4 linked regions of the Saccharomyces cerevisiae S288C genome follow. The gene in region 3 interacts genetically with the main gene of each other region. Each region holds a gene or a part of one and is shown on either strand. Other genes may lie near its edges.

What was found.
Region 1: of PEX34 (region 3) and AGC1, extra expression of one rescues a mutant of the other (dosage rescue), as found in Saccharomyces cerevisiae (one study listed by BioGRID).
Region 2: mutations in PEX34 (region 3) and RRP1 together harm fitness more than expected from each alone (negative genetic interaction), as found in Saccharomyces cerevisiae (2 studies listed by BioGRID).
Region 4: of PEX34 (region 3) and PEX25, changing one suppresses a phenotype caused by changing the other (phenotypic suppression), as found in Saccharomyces cerevisiae (3 studies listed by BioGRID).

Annotation. Positions count from the first base shown.
Region 1 is NC_001148.4:598,468-605,986, reverse strand, and holds AGC1 (citrin), read left to right. Parts: upstream 1-2,629; coding exon 2,630-5,338; downstream 5,339-7,519. Other genes in the region: SDD4 (Sdd4p), read left to right, coding at 1-2,076; ATP20 (F1F0 ATP synthase subunit g), read right to left, coding at 5,770-6,117; MCM DNA helicase complex subunit MCM4, read right to left, coding at 6,436-7,519. UniProt on the Saccharomyces cerevisiae protein: Calcium-dependent mitochondrial aspartate and glutamate carrier. Transport of glutamate in mitochondria is required for mitochondrial transamination reactions and ornithine synthesis.
Region 2 is NC_001136.10:616,970-619,864, reverse strand, and holds RRP1 (Rrp1p), read left to right. Parts: upstream 1-1,558; coding exon 1,559-2,395; downstream 2,396-2,895. Other genes in the region: mRNA splicing protein SLU7, read left to right, coding at 220-1,368; translocon subunit SSS1, read left to right, coding at 2,695-2,895. UniProt on the Saccharomyces cerevisiae protein: Required for 27S rRNA processing to 25S and 5.8S.
Region 3 is NC_001135.5:24,877-29,564, forward strand, and holds PEX34 (Pex34p), read right to left. Parts: upstream 2,484-4,688; coding exon 2,049-2,483; downstream 1-2,048. Other genes in the region: PRD1 (metalloendopeptidase), read left to right, coding at 1-2,030; KAR4 (Kar4p), read left to right, coding at 3,053-4,060. UniProt on the Saccharomyces cerevisiae protein: In concert with the three peroxisome divisional factors, PEX11, PEX25 and PEX27, controls peroxisome morphology and abundance under conditions of peroxisome proliferation. Maintains mature peroxisomes in actively dividing cells.
Region 4 is NC_001148.4:335,397-341,576, forward strand, and holds PEX25 (Pex25p), read right to left. Parts: upstream 3,225-6,180; coding exon 2,040-3,224; downstream 1-2,039. Other genes in the region: GTPase-activating protein BEM3, read right to left, coding at 1-90; YPL113C (glyoxylate reductase), read right to left, coding at 557-1,747; CAR1 (arginase), read left to right, coding at 4,548-5,549; GDE1 (glycerophosphocholine phosphodiesterase), read right to left, coding at 5,672-6,180. UniProt on the Saccharomyces cerevisiae protein: Required for regulation of peroxisome size and maintenance. Has a role in the import of peroxisomal matrix proteins. Imports RHO1 into the peroxisome. Also promotes peroxisome division and biogenesis.

The sequences.
Region 1 (7,519 bases), on a different chromosome or scaffold from region 3:
GATTCAGGAGTAGGAAACAATTCCTCTCTGAACTACAAGGAACAGTTGCGTCACTCTATGAAAAGTGTCCCGTCATTTTTCCATCCGGATCCCTTAACAAAGTATAAGATATCAAAAGAAAAATGTCAAGAAATGTTTTCATTTGTTCCAGAATTACGCTATGTCTCTATTGAATCTATACACAAATCGTTAAAATCCTTCTGGTTGAACTTCCATCCACAATACGGTCTGCTTCACAAACCCTCTTTTCACGTTGATAAACAGCCTGCAATTTTGAATTTGGCACTAATTATGACTGGCGCAAGTTTTTTGGGAAGCGAGTATCGTGAACAGATTAGTGACCCAATTTGTGGTCCTCTAAGATGGATAATTTTTTCTCATGCTGATTTTCAACCACCTTCTAAAACCTACATCATTCAAAGTTTATTATTAGTCGAAGGATATGAAAAAACAAGTACGAACAGGTATTTACATGAAAGGTCTTTTTTACATCACGGAACGACCATTCAATTGCTAAGGCGAACGCCCTCTTTAGGCGGCCATCCCTTAATGGTCAAAACCGGCAAAACCTCTGGGGAAAATTCAATTCAAGACCCACAAGAAGTTTATAAAAGATGGATTGATTTTGAAATGTTGAAAAGAATAGCTTTCTACGCATTTTATATGGACACTACACATGCTGTAGTGTTTGGATACTGGAATTTATTTATTAATAGCAATCAGATTCAACTAACTTTACCCTGTCCAGATCAAGTGTGGGAATCTTATGATTTGAGCTATGAAACTCTGATGGAGCATGGGTATGGCAGCACAAAGAGAGATGAGAATAATACATTTTTGTCTGCGTTAATGCAATTAATGAAAAATGTCATTCAAATCTTACGAAATAATAATATACGGAGAAACAAAGTCAACAATGGTGGAATAGAGAGTACCCCTACAGACTTGGAAAGCACTACAGATTGGAATATTCAGAGTCTTTTTGGTAAAAAGATTCTTTTGGCGGGGATAATTTCGATCTTATTTCAATGTCAAGAGGAAGTTAATGGTGACTATTTCATTACTAACTTTAGGGGCGGAATCACTGATCATTTAGGCCTTTCATGGAAAGATATTTTATCATTTGCAATGAACTATTGGCTTCACGAAGTTCAGAAAAGCTGCACTGATCCGAAAGCATGTAGGATAAGTACTCCATCTGAGGAGACACTAACGAACAGAAAAATTGACGAGGATAATGGAGATGGACTATGTGATGATGATTTGGACTTGCTTTCCTCCGATAATCCGTCAAATTGTAAAATTCCCGTTATTCATATCTCTCAAATTGTCCTACGTATTCTTCATCATGATTATTACATATATGCAGGAGCACCTTGGAGAATGAATGTACCAATTGGTCGCGATGAATATGACATGATCAGTCGCAGGATTCTCCAGTTCGCTAAGGACCCCTACAATGGGGGTGTAGCTGTAGTCTATGCCTTCCAGTTCTTATTTGAAATGTTTATCATTAAGGAAAATAACGTTCCAACCGTAGTGAAGAGCTACAATATAAATTCTGATCCTGTGATTACTAGACCCTATGCGATTGCATTAACTTCACTCCTAATTTGGTCTTGTAATTTTGCATTACATGGCTGTGAAGTTAGCATATGGGATAATACAGAAGCCTCAAAGGATGAATGCTTTCAACCAGATGACAGCAATGGTGGAAACATTCTAGGCAATACTGATAATAATGGATCGACGATTGCAAACAACAATTTAAAGGAAAAGAACAATTACATTCCAATAGAAAGTTTTGAAGTTTACCTATTGAGAATGTATCGGAACTTATATGTGGATAGCTCACTCGATGTAGTTAGCTTTCAGAATGACGTTTGGGCAAAAGCGAGTTTACTTCAACATATTTCTAATACCCACTTTCTATGCGGGATGATGCAGTTTATGAGAGATATTTTCAACAAGAGCTACTGGGATTTAGGGCGCGAATTCGGAAAACTCTTCGATAATTGTTTGGAAAGGAGCCTAGGGAAAACGTCACCCACTTGTCATAACATGTTTGATGTTTAGTTTATATTCGTATATTGGTAAATCATCATATTTATTGTTAGATTAATGAAATGGTTATGAAAACATTTGTAAACTGCCAGCTGTGAAATTGTTAAATAAAATCGACACTGTATATAATTGCGCTTCATATTTTACATGTAAGTATGATCTATGTTTTACGTAGGAGAAAGAGCTTTCTTTATTGGTCATCCCACTGCAAGCGGTTATGAAAAATTTCTGCAGCATCGCTTTAGGGGAGTACTGCCGGCATGTTGGAAAAACATCTCGAAACATATATTGAATCTCAGAATTAACCAGTATTCGAAGCAAAGAAAAAAATATTTCGAAGATAGATAAATACCTCAAGACGAACCTGTCTTTTATATGTTAAGATTTGATATCTAATCTCACCAGACTTTCAAGTTTTATCTCACAACCTCGCGTTTGCCATAATTTTCGAAGTAGCCTGATCCCTTCTTTGTGAACATATTTCACTGGAAAAGTACATAACTTTCATAGCGTAGTTTGAAAGTATGCAGCTTTGCTACCGACCTTAAAGAATTATTATACTATTATGGAGCAAATCAATTCGAACAGTAGAAAAAAGAAGCAACAATTGGAAGTATTCAAATATTTTGCAAGTGTCCTTACAAAAGAGGACAAGCCTATTAGTATCAGTAATGGTATGTTAGATATGCCGACAGTGAACTCCAGTAAACTCACAGCAGGAAATGGGAAACCTGACACGGAGAAGCTTACAGGAGAACTAATTTTAACATACGACGATTTCATTGAACTGATATCTAGCTCAAAGACTATTTATTCGAAGTTTACGGACCATTCGTTCAATTTGAACCAGATACCCAAGAACGTTTTCGGGTGTATTTTCTTCGCTATTGATGAACAAAACAAGGGATATCTGACGCTTAATGATTGGTTTTATTTTAATAATTTATTAGAATATGATAATTATCATCTCATTATTCTATATGAGTTCTTTAGGAAATTTGATGTAGAGAATTTGAAGGCAAAACAAAAAAAAGAGCTTGGTAGTTCGTCGTTTAATTTAAAGGCTGCAGATGATCGAATTAAGTCAATTAATTATGGTAACAGATTTCTAAGCTTTGATGATCTTCTTTTGAATCTGAACCAATTCAAAGATACTATCCGCCTGTTGCACGAATCTATTGATGATAATTTTGTTAAAGATAACAAATTACTACTTGATTGGAATGACTTTCGATTTCTGAAATTTTACAAATGTTATCATGAAAATGAAGAGTATTTGAGTTTAAACTCTCTGGTCACGATTTTACAAAATGATCTTAAGAATGAAAAAATATTTATAGGTTTTGATAGGTTGGCACAGATGGACTCACAAGGGCATCGTTTAGCCCTAAGCAAAAATCAACTCACCTATCTTCTAAGGTTATTTTACTCTCACAGGGTGTCTGCAGATATATTTTCCTCCTTGAATCTATCAAACACCGAATTACTAAAAGCGGACAATAATTCCATTCCGTACAATGTATTCAAGGATATATTTTATTTATTTCAAAATTTTGACCTACTGAACCAAATATTTCACAAGTATGTTACTGAAAATAATTTGAATGAGCAGGATATTAGGGAACAAATAGTTACTAAAAATGACTTTATGACAGTTTTAAACGCCCAGTATAACAAAGTAAACAATATCATTGAGTTCTCTCCTTCCCAAATCAACCTACTATTTTCTATCGTCGCAAATTCAAAGGAAAACAGAAGATTAAGAAAGAGAAATCAAGATCGAGATGACGAGCTATTAAATGATCACCATTATGATTCAGATATTGATTTTTTTATCCATAATGAGTATTTGCATGGAGTAAGCAGATCCAGAAAAAATTTAGAAAGTTTTAATGACTATTATCATGATCTCTCGGATGGATTTGACCAAGACTCTGGTGTTAAAAAAGCTTCAAAAGCGAGTACTGGCTTGTTTGAATCTGTATTTGGAGGTAAAAAAGATAAAGCAACGATGCGTTCTGACTTAACAATTGAAGATTTCATGAAAATTTTGAACCCAAATTACCTGAACGACTTAGTTCACCAAATGGAATTGCAAAAAAATCAAAATGAGTCATTGTATATTAATTACTACTTTTATCCAATTTTCGATTCGTTGTACAATTTCTCCTTGGGTTCTATTGCGGGTTGTATTGGTGCAACTGTAGTATACCCAATAGACTTTATAAAAACAAGGATGCAAGCCCAAAGATCTTTAGCCCAATACAAAAACTCAATTGATTGTTTGTTGAAGATTATATCCCGCGAAGGAATAAAAGGTCTCTACTCTGGCTTAGGGCCACAATTAATAGGAGTTGCTCCTGAAAAGGCGATAAAATTGACTGTCAATGATTTTATGAGAAACAGGTTGACTGATAAAAACGGCAAGCTAAGCCTTTTTCCTGAAATTATTTCTGGCGCTTCAGCTGGTGCATGTCAAGTTATATTTACTAATCCGTTAGAGATTGTAAAAATTAGGCTACAGGTCCAATCCGACTATGTTGGTGAAAACATACAACAAGCCAATGAAACTGCCACTCAAATAGTCAAAAAATTAGGACTGAGGGGCTTGTACAATGGTGTAGCCGCATGTTTAATGAGAGATGTTCCATTCTCTGCTATTTATTTTCCCACTTATGCACATTTAAAAAAAGATCTCTTTGATTTTGATCCAAATGATAAAACAAAGAGGAATCGATTAAAAACATGGGAGCTTTTAACTGCCGGTGCCATTGCTGGTATGCCAGCTGCCTTCTTGACTACTCCTTTTGATGTTATAAAAACAAGGCTCCAGATAGATCCTCGAAAAGGTGAGACAAAGTATAACGGTATATTTCATGCTATCCGAACTATCTTAAAGGAAGAGAGCTTTAGAAGCTTTTTCAAAGGTGGTGGAGCCCGTGTCCTAAGAAGTTCTCCCCAATTTGGGTTCACTCTGGCCGCCTATGAATTATTCAAGGGCTTTATTCCCTCCCCCGATAACAAATTAAAAAGCAGAGAGGGTAGGAAGAGATTTTGTATCGATGACGACGCAGGCAATGAAGAGACAGTAGTTCATAGTAACGGTGAACTCCCACAGCAAAAGTTTTACTCTGATGATAGAAAACATGCCAATTATTACTATAAAAGCTGTCAAATTGCGAAAACATTCATTGATTTGGACAATAACTTTTCTAGGTTTGACTCTTCAGTTTATAAAAACTTTCAAGAGCACCTAAGAAGCATTAACGGGTGATTTATTTTCTTCGTCAGTTTCTCTGTACATATATATGTATATATTTACTTATTATAATTCATAGCAAAATATATGTTTTTTTTTTTTTCTTATAGTGAGAAAAATTACTAATGATCCTGAGATCAATTTCACTGTAGTTTTTACTATAGTGCAACAAGTATGTTGTTCTTAATAAGTGTAATGAAAGCTCTGAGGTCAAGTTTTCTTTTTTACAGAAAAGTTATATTGGCCTATTTCATAAATAACTGGCGGCAAGAAGCTAATGTAATATAACTCGATATCGCTTTTAATGCCATTGTATGTCATGAAAAGAAAATAAATAGAATTGAGATGAATATATATTCTTTTTTCTAGTTTTGTTCTATTTGTACATTGATTTAATTTAATTAACGAATATACAAGGGTTTTGCGAATAGATAGAATTAAAAAGCTTAGTGATGTTTATATCCCACTAATTTTCTTCTTCCAATTATTTCACCGACAGAATAAAACCCTATCAACTGAATACCATATGCGCCATATTTTAATAGTTCATTCTTTTGGATGTTTTTTAAACACGATAAAACTTCTGTAGGCTTTAGAGCAAAGTTTAGGCTCTGCTTATAAAGGTTCGAATACACTGATTTGAACTGGGCAACAGTTGGTGGTTGAAGACCCTCTTTTAAATAAATCTGTTTTGAAATCTCGGCACCGACTTTACCATAGTATAAAGCCTTTGATGACAAAAGATTTGCTTTAGAAACCAACCCACTGGTATAATTTTGGATCCTGCTTAGCATGATGAATTGATTAGCGTTCTGAAATATGATTTATCGGCAGGTTTATCTTGTCGATTTGGACTGGAGTAGAAAATATGAGGGATCTTTGCATCTTCATTTTTCGGTCTTTAAATGTAATCATCCTTCGGGATAAATTTAGTGCGTTTAACAATATTTTCTTTCAGCCAATCAGGAATAAGAAAAAAGCCGCCCACTCAATCGAGCCTACATACAGTATTGAATAGTGTTACAAAGCATAAGGATGTAAAAAATACAAACTTGCTATAATTAATTAGTATTTATTAATTGTTACGCAGGGAATGATTGTAGTAGACAGCATCAGACACGGTTATTCAGGCGAACTGATCTCCTTACACCCTCGCCAAGGACAATGACCTTGTCCTCTTGTTGCAATCTTGACAAGGCTTCCTGGATATCAGAAGACTCAACTCTATCTTGAGAGTGTTCATTGATTTGTTTTATAAGCTCATTGAATGACATTGAGTCTGATGCCTGATCCTTCAAAACATTCATAATTTCCCTTGACAAATCCTCCTGTAGTTTTCTCTGAATAACTGATTTACCTGTTTGAACTAAATTCATGTCGATTTTACCGGTTTTAGGGTCTGTTGCATAATCTTTTATGGCTGATCTAATTAATCTAACGGCTTCTTGAACATCCTCCAGCTCTACGACGTTTTTCAATTTCATTTTGGCGTGCGCCTCAGCCAAACGAATCATACTTTCAAGTTGTCTTGTGGTAGCTGTGATTCTCTTCTCATCGGATCTCGAATCGTCACCCATCTTTCTCATTCCTACATAAGCACGAACAAGCTCAGTCTTAGCGGCCTCGGTGATTATTGGGTGTATGTGCTCCTTTGCATAACTAATATACATCGTTAAAAATTCAACTGGTAGCACGTCGTCTTGAGAAATATGTTCGGGCTTATCTTCCAGGTAAAGATTTGTTAAGTGTTTGGCTAGTTCTCTGTCATTTTTCTCATCAACCTTATCAAGGACAAGATAGACCAGATCGAATCTCGAAAGTAGTGGGGGCGGTAGATCAATATTTTCAGTCACAGGCAAATTGGGGTTGTAGCGTGAACCAATTGGGTTAGCACTGGCCAAAATAGAACTTCTGGCATTAAGTGTTGTGATAATTCCCGCTTTTGCGATTGAAATAGTCTGCTGTTCCATGACTTCGTGCAAGACGGACCTTGTAGAATCACTCATTTTATCAAACTCGTCAATACAACAAACACCTCCATCAGACAATACTAATGCACCACTTTCCAAAACAAGTTGTTTTGTGTCGACATCCCTTGTAATATAAGCAGTTAAACCAACGGCAGATGAACCTTTACCCGAAGTATACACACCACGAGGAGTAATTTTGTGAACGTATTGCAAAATTTGCGATTTG
Region 2 (2,895 bases), on a different chromosome or scaffold from region 3:
AGAAGTTGTCGAGTTTTTTTAAAGTACATTTCATTGGAACAACTAGTGACTAGTTCGAACGCGGAAAGACAATAATAGTACCCATAACGATAACTCCTTCGTTATCTATTGAATAGCTTGCCTTTCAAGTAAATCAATAATCAAGTCTGCGTATATCATTTATCGAGCACTTCTGAAAAAGATACCAGTTACACTGAAATACAACGATCGGATTACATAATGAATAATAACAGCAGAAACAACGAAAATCGAAGCACTATTAACAGAAATAAAAGGCAACTACAACAAGCAAAAGAAAAAAATGAAAATATTCATATCCCCAGGTATATTAGAAATCAACCATGGTACTATAAGGATACCCCCAAAGAACAAGAAGGGAAGAAGCCCGGCAATGATGATACGAGCACTGCAGAAGGAGGAGAAAAAAGCGACTACTTGGTGCATCATAGGCAAAAAGCAAAAGGGGGTGCTTTAGATATTGACAATAATTCAGAACCAAAAATTGGTATGGGTATAAAGGATGAGTTCAAACTAATCAGACCCCAGAAGATGTCCGTCCGAGATTCTCATTCGCTGTCATTTTGTAGGAATTGTGGGGAAGCAGGGCATAAGGAGAAAGACTGCATGGAAAAACCTCGTAAGATGCAGAAGCTTGTTCCCGATTTAAATTCACAAAAAAATAATGGCACAGTTTTAGTACGAGCTACTGATGATGACTGGGACTCCAGAAAAGATAGATGGTACGGTTACTCAGGGAAAGAATACAATGAACTGATAAGTAAGTGGGAGCGTGATAAAAGAAATAAAATAAAAGGAAAAGACAAATCCCAAACTGATGAAACACTATGGGATACAGATGAAGAGATAGAACTAATGAAGTTAGAACTTTACAAGGATTCCGTAGGTTCATTGAAGAAAGATGATGCTGATAATTCTCAGTTGTATAGGACATCAACGAGATTGAGAGAAGATAAGGCTGCTTACTTGAACGACATAAATTCAACGGAGAGTAATTATGATCCTAAATCAAGATTGTACAAAACTGAAACACTGGGCGCAGTTGATGAAAAATCAAAAATGTTCCGCAGACATTTGACAGGTGAAGGCCTAAAATTAAACGAATTGAACCAGTTTGCTAGATCTCACGCTAAGGAAATGGGTATACGTGATGAAATTGAGGATAAGGAAAAAGTACAACATGTTTTAGTCGCCAATCCTACTAAATATGAATATCTGAAGAAAAAACGGGAACAAGAAGAAACCAAGCAGCCCAAGATTGTCAGCATTGGAGATCTGGAAGCTAGGAAAGTAGATGGTACAAAGCAATCTGAGGAACAACGGAACCACTTAAAAGATTTATATGGTTAAGTTATATCATTTGAATTTCCAATATCCTAGTCACGGAGCACGAGAGGTAAAGAATTTAGAAAAAAAAATGCGATGAGCTGAAAAAAATTGTCAAATATAAACTACATTCTTAAGTATACGTATATATCTTGCGCATTCACGGCATAATACACTAAATAGACACTTAAAAAATCGAGTGAGAACATTCACAATGGAGACCTCCAACTTTGTTAAACAATTATCGTCGAACAACAGAAAAACCAGGGTAAATGCACTCGAAGCGTTAAAGAAATATCTAACCGCTAAACAGTTCAAGGAGAACAAACAAATAGAATTCAATAAACTTTGGAAGGGTCTTTACTATGCAATGTGGTTCAGTGACCGTCCTAGACCTCAGCAACGTTTAGCCAATGAATTAGGTGAATTGCATGGATTATATTTTGATCCTAAGGACAATAGCACTGCAGATGAGTTGACCACAAACGATAAAGCATTTATAAAGTTTAGCAGAGGGTTTTGGAAGGTCATGTGCTTTGAATGGTTTAACATTGACAGATATAGGTTGGATAAGTATCTTCTATTGATAAGAAGGGTATTATTCAGTCAATTGAAGTATTTGCAGTCCAGAAACTGGGACAAAAAATTAGTCGACGAGTATATTAAGAAAGTGTTGAGGTGGTTACCTCTGAGTGGAAGTCCAAAGGTCTACACAGGGATTCCAATTCATATCGTCGATATTCTGCTGGACGAATGGGAAAGATTGCTTAAAGATGGAGATGAAGACGATGAAGACGAGGAAAACAAAGAGGAAGAGATGCGCAAAATTGCAGAGAGCGCAAAAAAAACGCCACTAGCCGATGTTATCGCAATTTTCCAAGATATCGTGGCAGATTACAATAACAGTAAGGTGTTGAGAGAGAAGATCAAAGAAGACCTATTCAGTGACACCAGACTTGTTTCCTGGGATATTCTTGAAGGCGAAACGCAACATAATGATTCCAGTAACGAATCTGAAGAAGAGGAAGAGGAAGAGTGGAAGGGATTTTGATTCTTCCTGGCGGTAGTATGTAAGTAATCGTAAGTCGCTCATATAAATTGTAGTTGTATATCTATAGTACGAAAAATTCATTACCCTCTGTGGATATTGGCGGAATGCGAAACACGTCGCCTTTTTTTCCTCGCAACATTTTTTTTATTTTTTTTTCGTTTTGAAATGAAAGAATACTAGTGATTAAATTAAACAAGGAAAATAGTACAGATTGGCGTGTATTGTCCATAACTCGTGTCCATTGTCCGCACTACGCTAGTTTACCAAAGATAAAATCACGTATAACATTGAAAAATAAAATGGCTAGAGCTAGTGAAAAAGGTGAAGAGAAAAAGCAGAGCAACAACCAGGTTGAAAAGCTGGTTGAAGCACCTGTAGAATTTGTCAGAGAAGGTACTCAATTCTTGGCCAAGTGTAAGAAACCTGATTTGAAGGAATACACCAAGATTGTCAAGGCTGTTGGTATTGGTTTTATTGCAGTCGGTATCATTGGTTACGCC
Region 3 (4,688 bases):
CCCAGGCCCCGCCTAATTGGTCGTTCACTCCCAGCGATATTAGTGGGAAAACCAACGAAATCATCAACAACAGCAACAATTTCTATGATTCTATGAGTAAGGTAGAGAGCCCTTCCGTGAGTAATTTTGTGGAGCCTTTCATGAAGTTTGAAAATGAATTGGGCCCAATAATTAACCAATTAACTTTCTTACAGCATGTGTCGTCTGATAAAGAAATTAGGGACGCATCTGTGAACTCCTCAATGAAACTGGATGAGTTGAACATCGATCTATCTCTGCGTCACGACATCTTTTTGCAATTCGCCCGCGTCTGGCAGGATGTTCAATCGAAGGCAGATTCTGTGGAAAGAGAAACTTTCAAATACGTTGAGAAGTCTTACAAGGACTACATTCATTCTGGTTTGGAACTTGACGAGGGAAACCGATTGAAAATCAAAGAGATCAAAAAGAAGATCTCCGTTAACTCTATTAATTTTTCGAAGAATCTGGGAGAACAAAAGGAATACATCACTTTCACCAAAGAACAATTGGAAGGTGTGCCGGATTCTATTTTGACGCAGTTCGAGACAATAAAATCTGACAAAGATAGCAATGAAACCTTGTATAAAGTCACCTTCAAATATCCGGACATTTTTCCCGTGATGAAATTGGCATCCTCAGCTCAGACTAGAAAGCAGGCCTTTTTGGCCGACCAAAATAAGGTCCCTGAAAATGAAGCTATACTGTTGGATACATTGAAGCTGCGTGACGAATTGGCCTCGTTATTGGGCTATGACACGTATGCGAACTACAACCTGTATGATAAAATGGCTGAAGATAGCACTACGGTAATGAACTTTTTGAATGATTTGAAGGACAAGCTAATTCCGCTGGGCAGAAAGGAACTACAGGTCTTGCAAGATATGAAAGCCGAAGATGTTAAGAAACTTAACCAGGGTGCAGATCCAAACTACTACATTTGGGACCACCGTTACTACGATAACAAATATTTGTTAGAAAACTTCAATGTGGACCTAGAAAAGATTTCTGAATATTTTCCACTAGAGGCTACGATTACTGGTATGCTGGAAATATACGAAACATTGTTTAATTTGAAGTTTATCGAGACGAAAGATTCTCAAAACAAATCTGTTTGGCATGACGACGTCAAACAAATCGCCGTTTGGAATATGGATGATCCAAAGTCTCCAAACTTTGTTGGTTGGATTTATTTCGATTTACATCCTCGTGATGGTAAATATGGCCACGCTGCCAATTTTGGTTTATCGTCATCATTCATGATTGATGACACCACAAGATCGTATCCGGTTACTGCGTTGGTTTGCAATTTCTCCAAATCTACGAAGGATAAACCTTCTCTACTGAAGCATAACGAAATAGTGACCTTTTTCCATGAATTGGGCCATGGTATCCATGACCTGGTGGGACAAAACAAGGAATCGAGGTTTAATGGCCCCGGATCTGTTCCATGGGATTTTGTGGAGGCACCTTCCCAAATGTTAGAATTTTGGACTTGGAATAAGAATGAATTAATCAACCTCTCATCACATTACAAAACGGGCGAAAAAATTCCAGAATCTTTGATCAATTCATTGATCAAAACTAAACACGTAAATGGTGCTTTATTCACTCTAAGACAATTACATTTTGGGTTATTTGATATGAAAGTACATACTTGTAAAGACTTGCAAAACCTGTCAATTTGCGATACCTGGAACCAATTGAGACAGGATATTTCTTTGATTTCTAATGGTGGTACGTTATCCAAGGGTTATGATTCATTTGGCCATATAATGTCAGACTCTTACTCTGCCGGTTATTACGGTTATCTATGGGCGGAAGTCTTTGCAACTGATATGTATCACACCAAATTCGCTAAGGATCCGTTAAATGCCAAGAATGGGATACAATACCGTGATATTGTGTTGGCTCGTGGTGGCCTTTATGATATTAATGATAATCTGAAAGAATTTTTGGGTAGGGAACCTTCTAAGGATGCTTTCTTGAAGGAGCTGGGCTTACAGAACTAAATTCGTTCAAGCATAAAATTATACAATTATTCTACAAAGTGTTATTATGTTAGATAATCTTTTAAATAACCTCGTCCCTGGATAGATTAAAACCATTAAATAGCTCAAATCTTGGAGTAAAGCAGCAGTAATATGTCTGATATGTTCGTTATATTTTTTCTTGAAGTTTATCAACTTATCCTTTACTAGACCATTTCCCTCCCCATCCAATCGTTGATCGATTTTAAATTTCACCTTGCATAATTTTATTAATTTCCATACACATTTTATCACTGAAATGCACGAGTAACACAGCCAAACTTTCCGTAATAGCCCACTTACATATAACTTATCGTTGACCACGCCTAGGTTTTCCAATACTGCGAAGAAATCAAGCAGCGAACTTACACCACTCCATATATTCTCCCATATATCTTTTGCACTGATTTCAGCCGTATTTTTCTTCGAAACCATTCAACTTTCTTTTCTTCTTCCTTTACTTTTATTCATCTCCTCTTTACTTCTTACCTCAGAGTCGAACATTGAAATCATTTCCCGCGAATTTTTCGATTATAATTACCCTTTCTACTTAACAAGAAGCAATAAGAGCAAAGGGGCGAAATGCTTGTCCCATACTTTGGCTTTTGGATGTGACATTAGGAGCCTTATCTCCTCTTAATGCCTTAAGTCAAAAAATAGTTTTTGGGATATATCTTGTGATCAAATGCTTTGCAAAAGGGTAAAACAGCGTTTACAATAGGATAGCCAAAAGTAAAAAAAAAAAAAAAAAAAAAAAGAAGGAAGTTAGTATCGAGCTCAAACAATTTTAGTTTTGCTGGACATATTTTCAGTTTCATTACTGTATATTTGCAGCTTGGTTTTTGTCGCTCTGTAGTCTTGTTTCACACTTCGTCATTTCCGAGTTTCATCTTGCGACATAACTTGTTTCAACTTTTCAAGTGCGACTTTTTGTTAAATATTATGACATAGAAGAAAGTAGAACAGCCATTATAAAACAAAAGAGAAGTGAGAATACTATTAAGATGGCATTCCAAGATCCAACTTACGACCAGAATAAAAGCAGACACATCAACAACAGTCACTTGCAAGGGCCAAACCAGGAAACAATAGAAATGAAATCTAAACACGTATCATTCAAACCCTCTAGAGACTTCCATACAAACGATTACTCGAATAACTACATTCATGGGAAGTCGCTACCGCAACAGCATGTTACTAATATTGAGAATAGGGTTGATGGCTATCCAAAACTTCAGAAATTATTTCAGGCGAAAGCTAAACAAATAAATCAATTTGCCACTACGCCATTTGGGTGTAAAATCGGAATAGATTCCATTGTTCCAACGTTGAATCACTGGATACAGAACGAAAATTTGACTTTCGACGTGGTGATGATTGGCTGCTTAACAGAAAATCAGTTTATTTACCCAATTTTAACCCAATTGCCATTGGATAGATTGATCTCCAAACCAGGTTTCCTGTTCATCTGGGCCAATTCTCAAAAAATCAATGAACTTACTAAACTTTTGAATAATGAAATATGGGCTAAAAAGTTTAGAAGAAGTGAAGAATTGGTTTTTGTTCCTATTGACAAGAAATCACCGTTTTATCCAGGTTTAGATCAGGACGATGAAACGTTGATGGAAAAAATGCAATGGCACTGTTGGATGTGTATCACAGGTACAGTAAGGAGGTCTACAGATGGACATCTTATTCATTGTAACGTAGACACTGACTTGAGTATCGAAACGAAGGACACCACTAATGGTGCTGTACCATCCCATTTGTATCGTATTGCAGAAAACTTCTCTACCGCGACTAGACGATTACATATTATTCCTGCAAGGACTGGTTACGAGACACCCGTCAAAGTAAGACCTGGCTGGGTTATAGTGAGCCCAGATGTTATGTTGGATAACTTCTCACCCAAGAGATATAAAGAAGAGATAGCTAATTTAGGTTCGAATATCCCATTAAAAAATGAGATTGAGCTGTTAAGACCAAGAAGTCCAGTACAAAAAGCACAATAAAGCATCAACACATAAATCCTTGCTTAGCTCAATTAAATATACTAGTAAATAAGTATATAAACAATAATTTTGCATTTTATTTTACTGGAAACTCTTCTCAAAACCAAATTGCGCAAGGATTGATTCAGTACAATTATGCAAACTCGAAAAGTAAATAAACAAAAAGATACAGTTGAGTGAAAGGTAAATAAACATTATTCTACTTGATTTTCCTCTGTTTTTTCCATTTTTCTTTTTTGTCTTTTCGTGTTCTAGCGTGTTCACTTTTTCAGCCATGTAATTACTTAAATAGGAAGTTTACACGATGTTCTCGCATAAAAAGCTGGAAGTGCAGAACAAAGAGGAAGAAAATAGGAACAGAGAATTTGTTTGTTTATTTGTTTGTTTGCTTGTTTGTTTGTTTGTTTTGATTTGAAGTCGAGGTACTTATTCGAAATAATTATTTTGCCCAGGGTTTTGGATAGTTTTTTGTTTTCCAATTAGATTTTTAGAAATATTTTATCATAGTTTTTTGTTTATTTATTTGTTTATTTATTTGTTGATTTGTTTATTTATTTGTTGGTTTGTTTATTTAAGTTTGTAAATGTTTAATAAACAAAACAATATTTGCAAGCCATTGAAAACTTTG
Region 4 (6,180 bases), on a different chromosome or scaffold from region 3:
TTTGTCCTTTTTGGATCTATGATCATTGTACTGCGCCAACAATTCAAGGGTGGTACTACCACCATGAGTTGTGGTCAAATTATCTGTCATTGCGTGCTGTTAGTTGAGTGTGAGTTTATTCTAGAATATACACACAGATACTCCTAGCAGCCAGTGTTTCAACAAACGTGATGTTGTATATGCCTGATGTAATCACGAACTCGAACAAAAGGCAAAATGGTAGAAGGCAAGGACAAAGAAGAAAAGAGAAAAAACTTCCAGATACAAAGCTAACACACAAAGGTAAACGGTGATTAAAATGGATATATCGTTGATGTATTTAACAATCTTGAAAAATTCCGTTTAAAAAACATACCAATACGCGCAATAAAAACGGTTCTTATCTGGTACTTTACCTAGTCAGACGATTATTGTTCTTTATAAAACGGCCGCGTTTTTTTTCCAACATCACCGCCGCCATATAACTTTCGACATTCTTAGAGTTGTGGTATAAAGAGCAATGCATATACGTATGTAATCCTAATTGAAATGCTATCTTTGTAACATAATGAATGGTTCAGTTGAGCACATACTTACCATCACCTCCCTCGACAAATATGTCCTGCACATTCTCGAGTGTGATGAGTGTCTGCTTTATGACCATGTCGGCAACTGTGCTGCCGATATGTGGCAAAGCTGTAACATCCCATCTGCGAAGTAACTCTTGCTTAACGCGTGTTTCCTCATTTTTAAACACATCGAGACCACAGCTTGCCACTTTTCCAGATTCAAGAGCGTCTAGTAGCACATCTTCATCTATGCATGTGCCTCTCCCAACGTTAACTATCCTGACACCATCTTTACACCAGGCCAAACTTTTACGATTGATAATATTGTTTGTAGAGGCCGTACTGGGCAAGGCCAAAATGATCAAATCCGCATTCTTCCAAGTATTTGGATCATCTAGATCAGAATGGTACTTAGCGTTGTAATCAAGTAGACTCTTTTGGACGGGACCGGTCCTTTTGTAGTATTCAATGCTCATGTTGAACACTTTGTGCAAGTTAGACCCTATATTTTGTCCGATGGAGCCAAACCCCAATATTAGAACTTTTTTATTCATTGGAGATTCCATTTTTTTCCCGCCAACCGTGTACTTTTCTGCTAAATGTACCACTTTCCTATCCTTGTTAGGCTTGCATTTGTCTGTTCGAGAGGGAAATTTCATTTCCTGACCGTGGTAACTATCTGTAACAATTTCATACGAGTCACTAGAGATATATTTCTTACACTGTTCAACATTACCATTTTCCACGTATTTAAAACAATATTCCCAAAATGAAGTCATTCTAAAGCAGCTAATTGCTAGGAAAATAGCCAATTCTGTGACATGGTCAGCAGCATGTGGTCCAATGTTGCATAAAGTGATACCTTTCGATCTTAATAACTTACCGTCAATAAAGTCACAGCCGACCCATGGTACAAGGATTACTTTTAAAGATGCGGGGAAGAATTCAATATAACTCGAAGGGTTTCCTAACACAGTGAAAAACTCCTCAGTGAGCCAAAAGCCGTTTATTCTATGAGTTTCCAAAAATTTAACAAAATCATCCTTTGTGGACATCTCATATTTATAGAATTCTACCCTTTCTGCCAGTTTGCGATATTCAGGAAGATGACTGGCGACTTCCCATTGGGTTTTATAAGGCACCAAAATTCTTGGTTTGGCAGAATAAGTTACATCTGCTATGTCAATTGAAGTAATCATTGTTATTTAAAGGTTGCTACTTTTGTACACTCAAGTATTTTTCTGTATTTGAGAGAGAGCTATTTGTACTCCACACTCCACCTTTTAGATCTGCGTCAAAGTGTCAGAATAAACATACCGTAAAACGGAATGACTACCGCCACCCCAATGACATAAAAACGGAAGAAAAAGAGCAAAAACCGAGCGCCAAACTATCTTATTCAACGAATCAAATAACAATACAAATGCAGAGGTAAAACATTATTCGCCACATATATATGTACATATCTATATGTATACATATTTTTATATATCAATCTTTTGAAGAGCAAAGTGACCTCTTTGTTGTTATCCAAAGTTTAACCAGTCCAGTTAAGCCGGATCCCAGGGACAGAACGGCATACGTTCCCTTTGGAGTTTTTAAATTTAGAATATCTGATGTATTAGCCATGCAATCAAACGATAATCTTGCAATATCTAAATAAACAAGTGTCTTTTCATCCTTGATGGCCTTTAGTTGTTTGTGTATTAACACCTCTGCGTCGTTATTAACATTTAGGTCATTTAACAACTGTTTCCTAATTGGCGATTGTGAGCCATCGTCTTTATGGGCCTGATGCATCAGTATGGGTGAGAGTAGTAACGCGTTATTTTGAACTTTTAGTTGCACTTCCAATTCTAATTGTCTCTTCTGTAAGCTTTGCAGGTTGAGCCAATGGTCCTTCAAGCTTAAAAGAATGTCGTATTGCCATGCAAGAGACTCTTGTCTACTGACAAAGGAATAGAATGATTTATTTGTCCATATTTTCAATTTGTATAGCAAGTCTAATTCATCAAAGATACCATAATACAAGTCCAAAAATTCTCTCAATGAAGCTTCATTAAACCATATTTTCTTAATTTGGTCAATTTGAAAGTTGCACTTTCTGGTTTTATTGAATTTCCCCAAGAAACTGCACACTCGGAATGGTGTGCCGCCAAACCTTAAAATATATCTAAAAGTACTTAATTGTTGACTGATAAAATCAATTTTCTTGTCAAAATTTCTCAAAAGAGACAGGAGAAGTACTTTAATTACCGTGATTGGATGCCTTAGTGCGACTTTTACAGTCAGATTTTTCAAAATCTTGGTATAGTACGTTAATACGGAAGGGTCCAAAACAGTTAAATTTCGCTTAGACTTTTCGATAAACAGTTTTAATATATCCAGAGCGTATTTGATAATTTTGGCTAATTTGTCTCTACCAGATAGAGAATCCAATATATATTTTAAGATGGTAATATTATCCACCATCTTTGTTTTTGCTTGAGAATCCTCATCATCACTTCTCGAGGATTCAGTATGCGACTCGCTTCCACTGCCTGCACTGAACTTCTCTGCACCGGCGTCTGATGAATGTGGATGGGTATTGTCATCCTGGGCGTCCTGGTAACTTGCCCCAGAATAAGGTGGTGTTTCTGAACCGGAAACGATATCTGTCGTGCCAAACTGACTCATTGTTTTACGACCAGTTTCTATAGGTGAAGACTTACAGGGAAGTTGAGGATATCGACTCTATTTGTTACTTTCTCCAGCATACAAATTACCGATGATTCTGAGAAGAAAGAAGAAAAACGTATTTCAAAAATTATATAACCTGAAATAATAAGCCCAATCCCACCGGAATTTCATATACTATCACCGACCTGGAAAAAAAATGAAGAGTAAAAAGAAAAAAATAAATTTAGCGCCGCTCGGTTTCGATCCGAGGACATCAGGGTTATGAGCCCTGCGCGCTTCCACTGCGCCACGGCGCTGCTAAATCATGTGAGTTTAGCGCGTACCGAGCAAATTCACCAAAATATTTACATCCAATTTGCTCCCCTCACTCTTCCCCGATGTCGGTTGTGATTACTGCTACGCATGGCGACTCTTAATTTCTTTCAGGTATAGTAACATTTACTCCTTTAAGTAATTGTCTATTTTTCCTCGACACTGTATGTAGTTACCTTTCAAGGAAGCTATTCCAATACCATCGTGAGAAAAACTCTATTGGATACTTCATCTAGCTCGTATATATGCTTTTTAAACTTTATACCAAACCGTGTAGGCAAAACTGGACCGCCCGGTAAGTTCTGCTATTAACAAATTAAATAAAATTGGCCAAACTGAGGATTGACAGTTCTGAATATCCAAGATTACTGACTTCAATTTTCTCACTTCTCATCATAATATTCCGCTGATTTTTACATACCGTATATCCAATTTACGGCCCTTCACATATAGCGGCGAAATGATGGTAAAGCTACGCATACTGTCTGACAGGACCCTATTCTAGCAACCTTACATGAAACAAAAACAAACAACATCACATCATACGGATGAACTACGGGTGCAATCCCTGACTCATCAATGTTTATCATAAACTTAGATATCAACACTGATAAACCCCACCTCTATTTTTACTGGTTCTTCACTTTTTCGATGCCGCACCGTCGCCCGCGATCCCCGCCCTTTGATTGCTCCTTCCATTAACAGTTTTTTTCTATCCCTTACAAGAAGCCGAGACGCCGCGAAAATATCGGCTAGTGCGAATAGTCTCTAGCTCTTGCCCTTCGCAAAGCACCGTGCTGCTAATGGCAATCAACAGCGCATCGCCGCTCGCTGAATTTTTCACTTAGCGGTAGCCGCCGAGGGGTCTAAAGAGTATATAAGCAGAGCTTGCGGCCCACTTTCTATCAAGATCTAAGACTGTTTCTCTTCTCTTGGTCTGTATATGTTTTCTCAAAGTTAGCAGAAACAACAACAACAACTATATCAATAACAATAACTACTATCAAGATGGAAACAGGACCTCATTACAACTACTACAAAAATCGCGAATTGTCCATCGTTCTGGCTCCATTCAGCGGCGGTCAGGGTAAGCTTGGTGTCGAGAAGGGCCCTAAATACATGCTTAAGCATGGTCTGCAAACAAGCATAGAGGATTTGGGCTGGTCTACGGAATTAGAGCCCTCAATGGACGAGGCCCAATTTGTGGGAAAGTTGAAAATGGAGAAGGACTCCACAACTGGGGGTTCCTCTGTTATGATAGACGGTGTCAAGGCTAAAAGAGCAGATTTGGTTGGTGAAGCCACCAAGTTGGTGTACAACTCCGTGTCGAAAGTGGTCCAGGCGAACAGATTCCCCTTGACCTTGGGTGGTGATCATTCAATAGCCATTGGTACTGTATCCGCGGTTTTGGACAAATACCCCGATGCTGGTCTTTTATGGATAGACGCCCACGCTGATATAAACACCATAGAAAGCACCCCCTCTGGAAACTTGCACGGCTGTCCCGTGTCATTCCTAATGGGTTTGAACAAGGATGTCCCACATTGTCCCGAGTCGCTCAAATGGGTTCCAGGCAACTTGAGCCCAAAAAAGATCGCGTATATTGGGTTGAGAGATGTTGATGCCGGAGAAAAGAAAATCTTGAAAGATCTGGGTATCGCCGCCTTTTCCATGTACCACGTTGACAAATACGGCATCAACGCTGTCATTGAAATGGCAATGAAAGCCGTGCACCCAGAAACAAACGGTGAAGGTCCCATTATGTGCTCCTATGACGTCGATGGTGTAGACCCATTATACATTCCTGCTACAGGTACTCCAGTGAGAGGTGGGTTGACCTTGAGAGAAGGTCTTTTCTTGGTGGAAAGATTGGCCGAATCCGGTAATTTAATTGCGCTAGACGTTGTTGAATGTAACCCTGATCTGGCTATTCATGATATCCATGTTTCAAACACCATCTCTGCAGGTTGCGCCATTGCAAGGTGTGCATTGGGTGAAACCTTATTGTAGTTTATATCATCATCCCTTTTATCAAAATAAGCATTCTCTTTTTATTTTAGTTAAGCACATGCATACATAAATTTACGAACAAAAAAAGAAAATAAATTAAAAATAAAAGTAGTGTATCTTCGTTACTTTTCATTCTTTTTGGTTAACCCACGTCTAATTGCCAATACACTATCGACGATCACGGCATCTACACCTGCTTCAATTTGTATACTGGCATTTTCGGGATCATTGTTGTCCACACCGTAAGTGACACATACCAGCCCATTAGACTTAACCACTTGCACCAACCGTGGGGCCTTTAAAATGGGTGCTGCAGCAGATACAATCCCCAATAAATTCCACTTCTTAGCAAATCTTATACCGTTTTGTAACGATGAGGCTCTCAAATCGGCCATCTGTTCACTTCCACCTTCCGTCAGGAACAAGATCGGAATAACCGGTTGCTTTAACGAAAGCATGATGCAAATATCCGGATGAAATGACGAAAAAATGATGTCCCTACCATTCGCATTGTCAAAAACTACTTTTAACACGGTGTCAACCCAATGGTTCATTTCCATCATTATTTGCCCTAACTCTTCCTCTTCTGCCTCATCAAGCATGGGAAACTTACATTCTATGTTAAACCCAA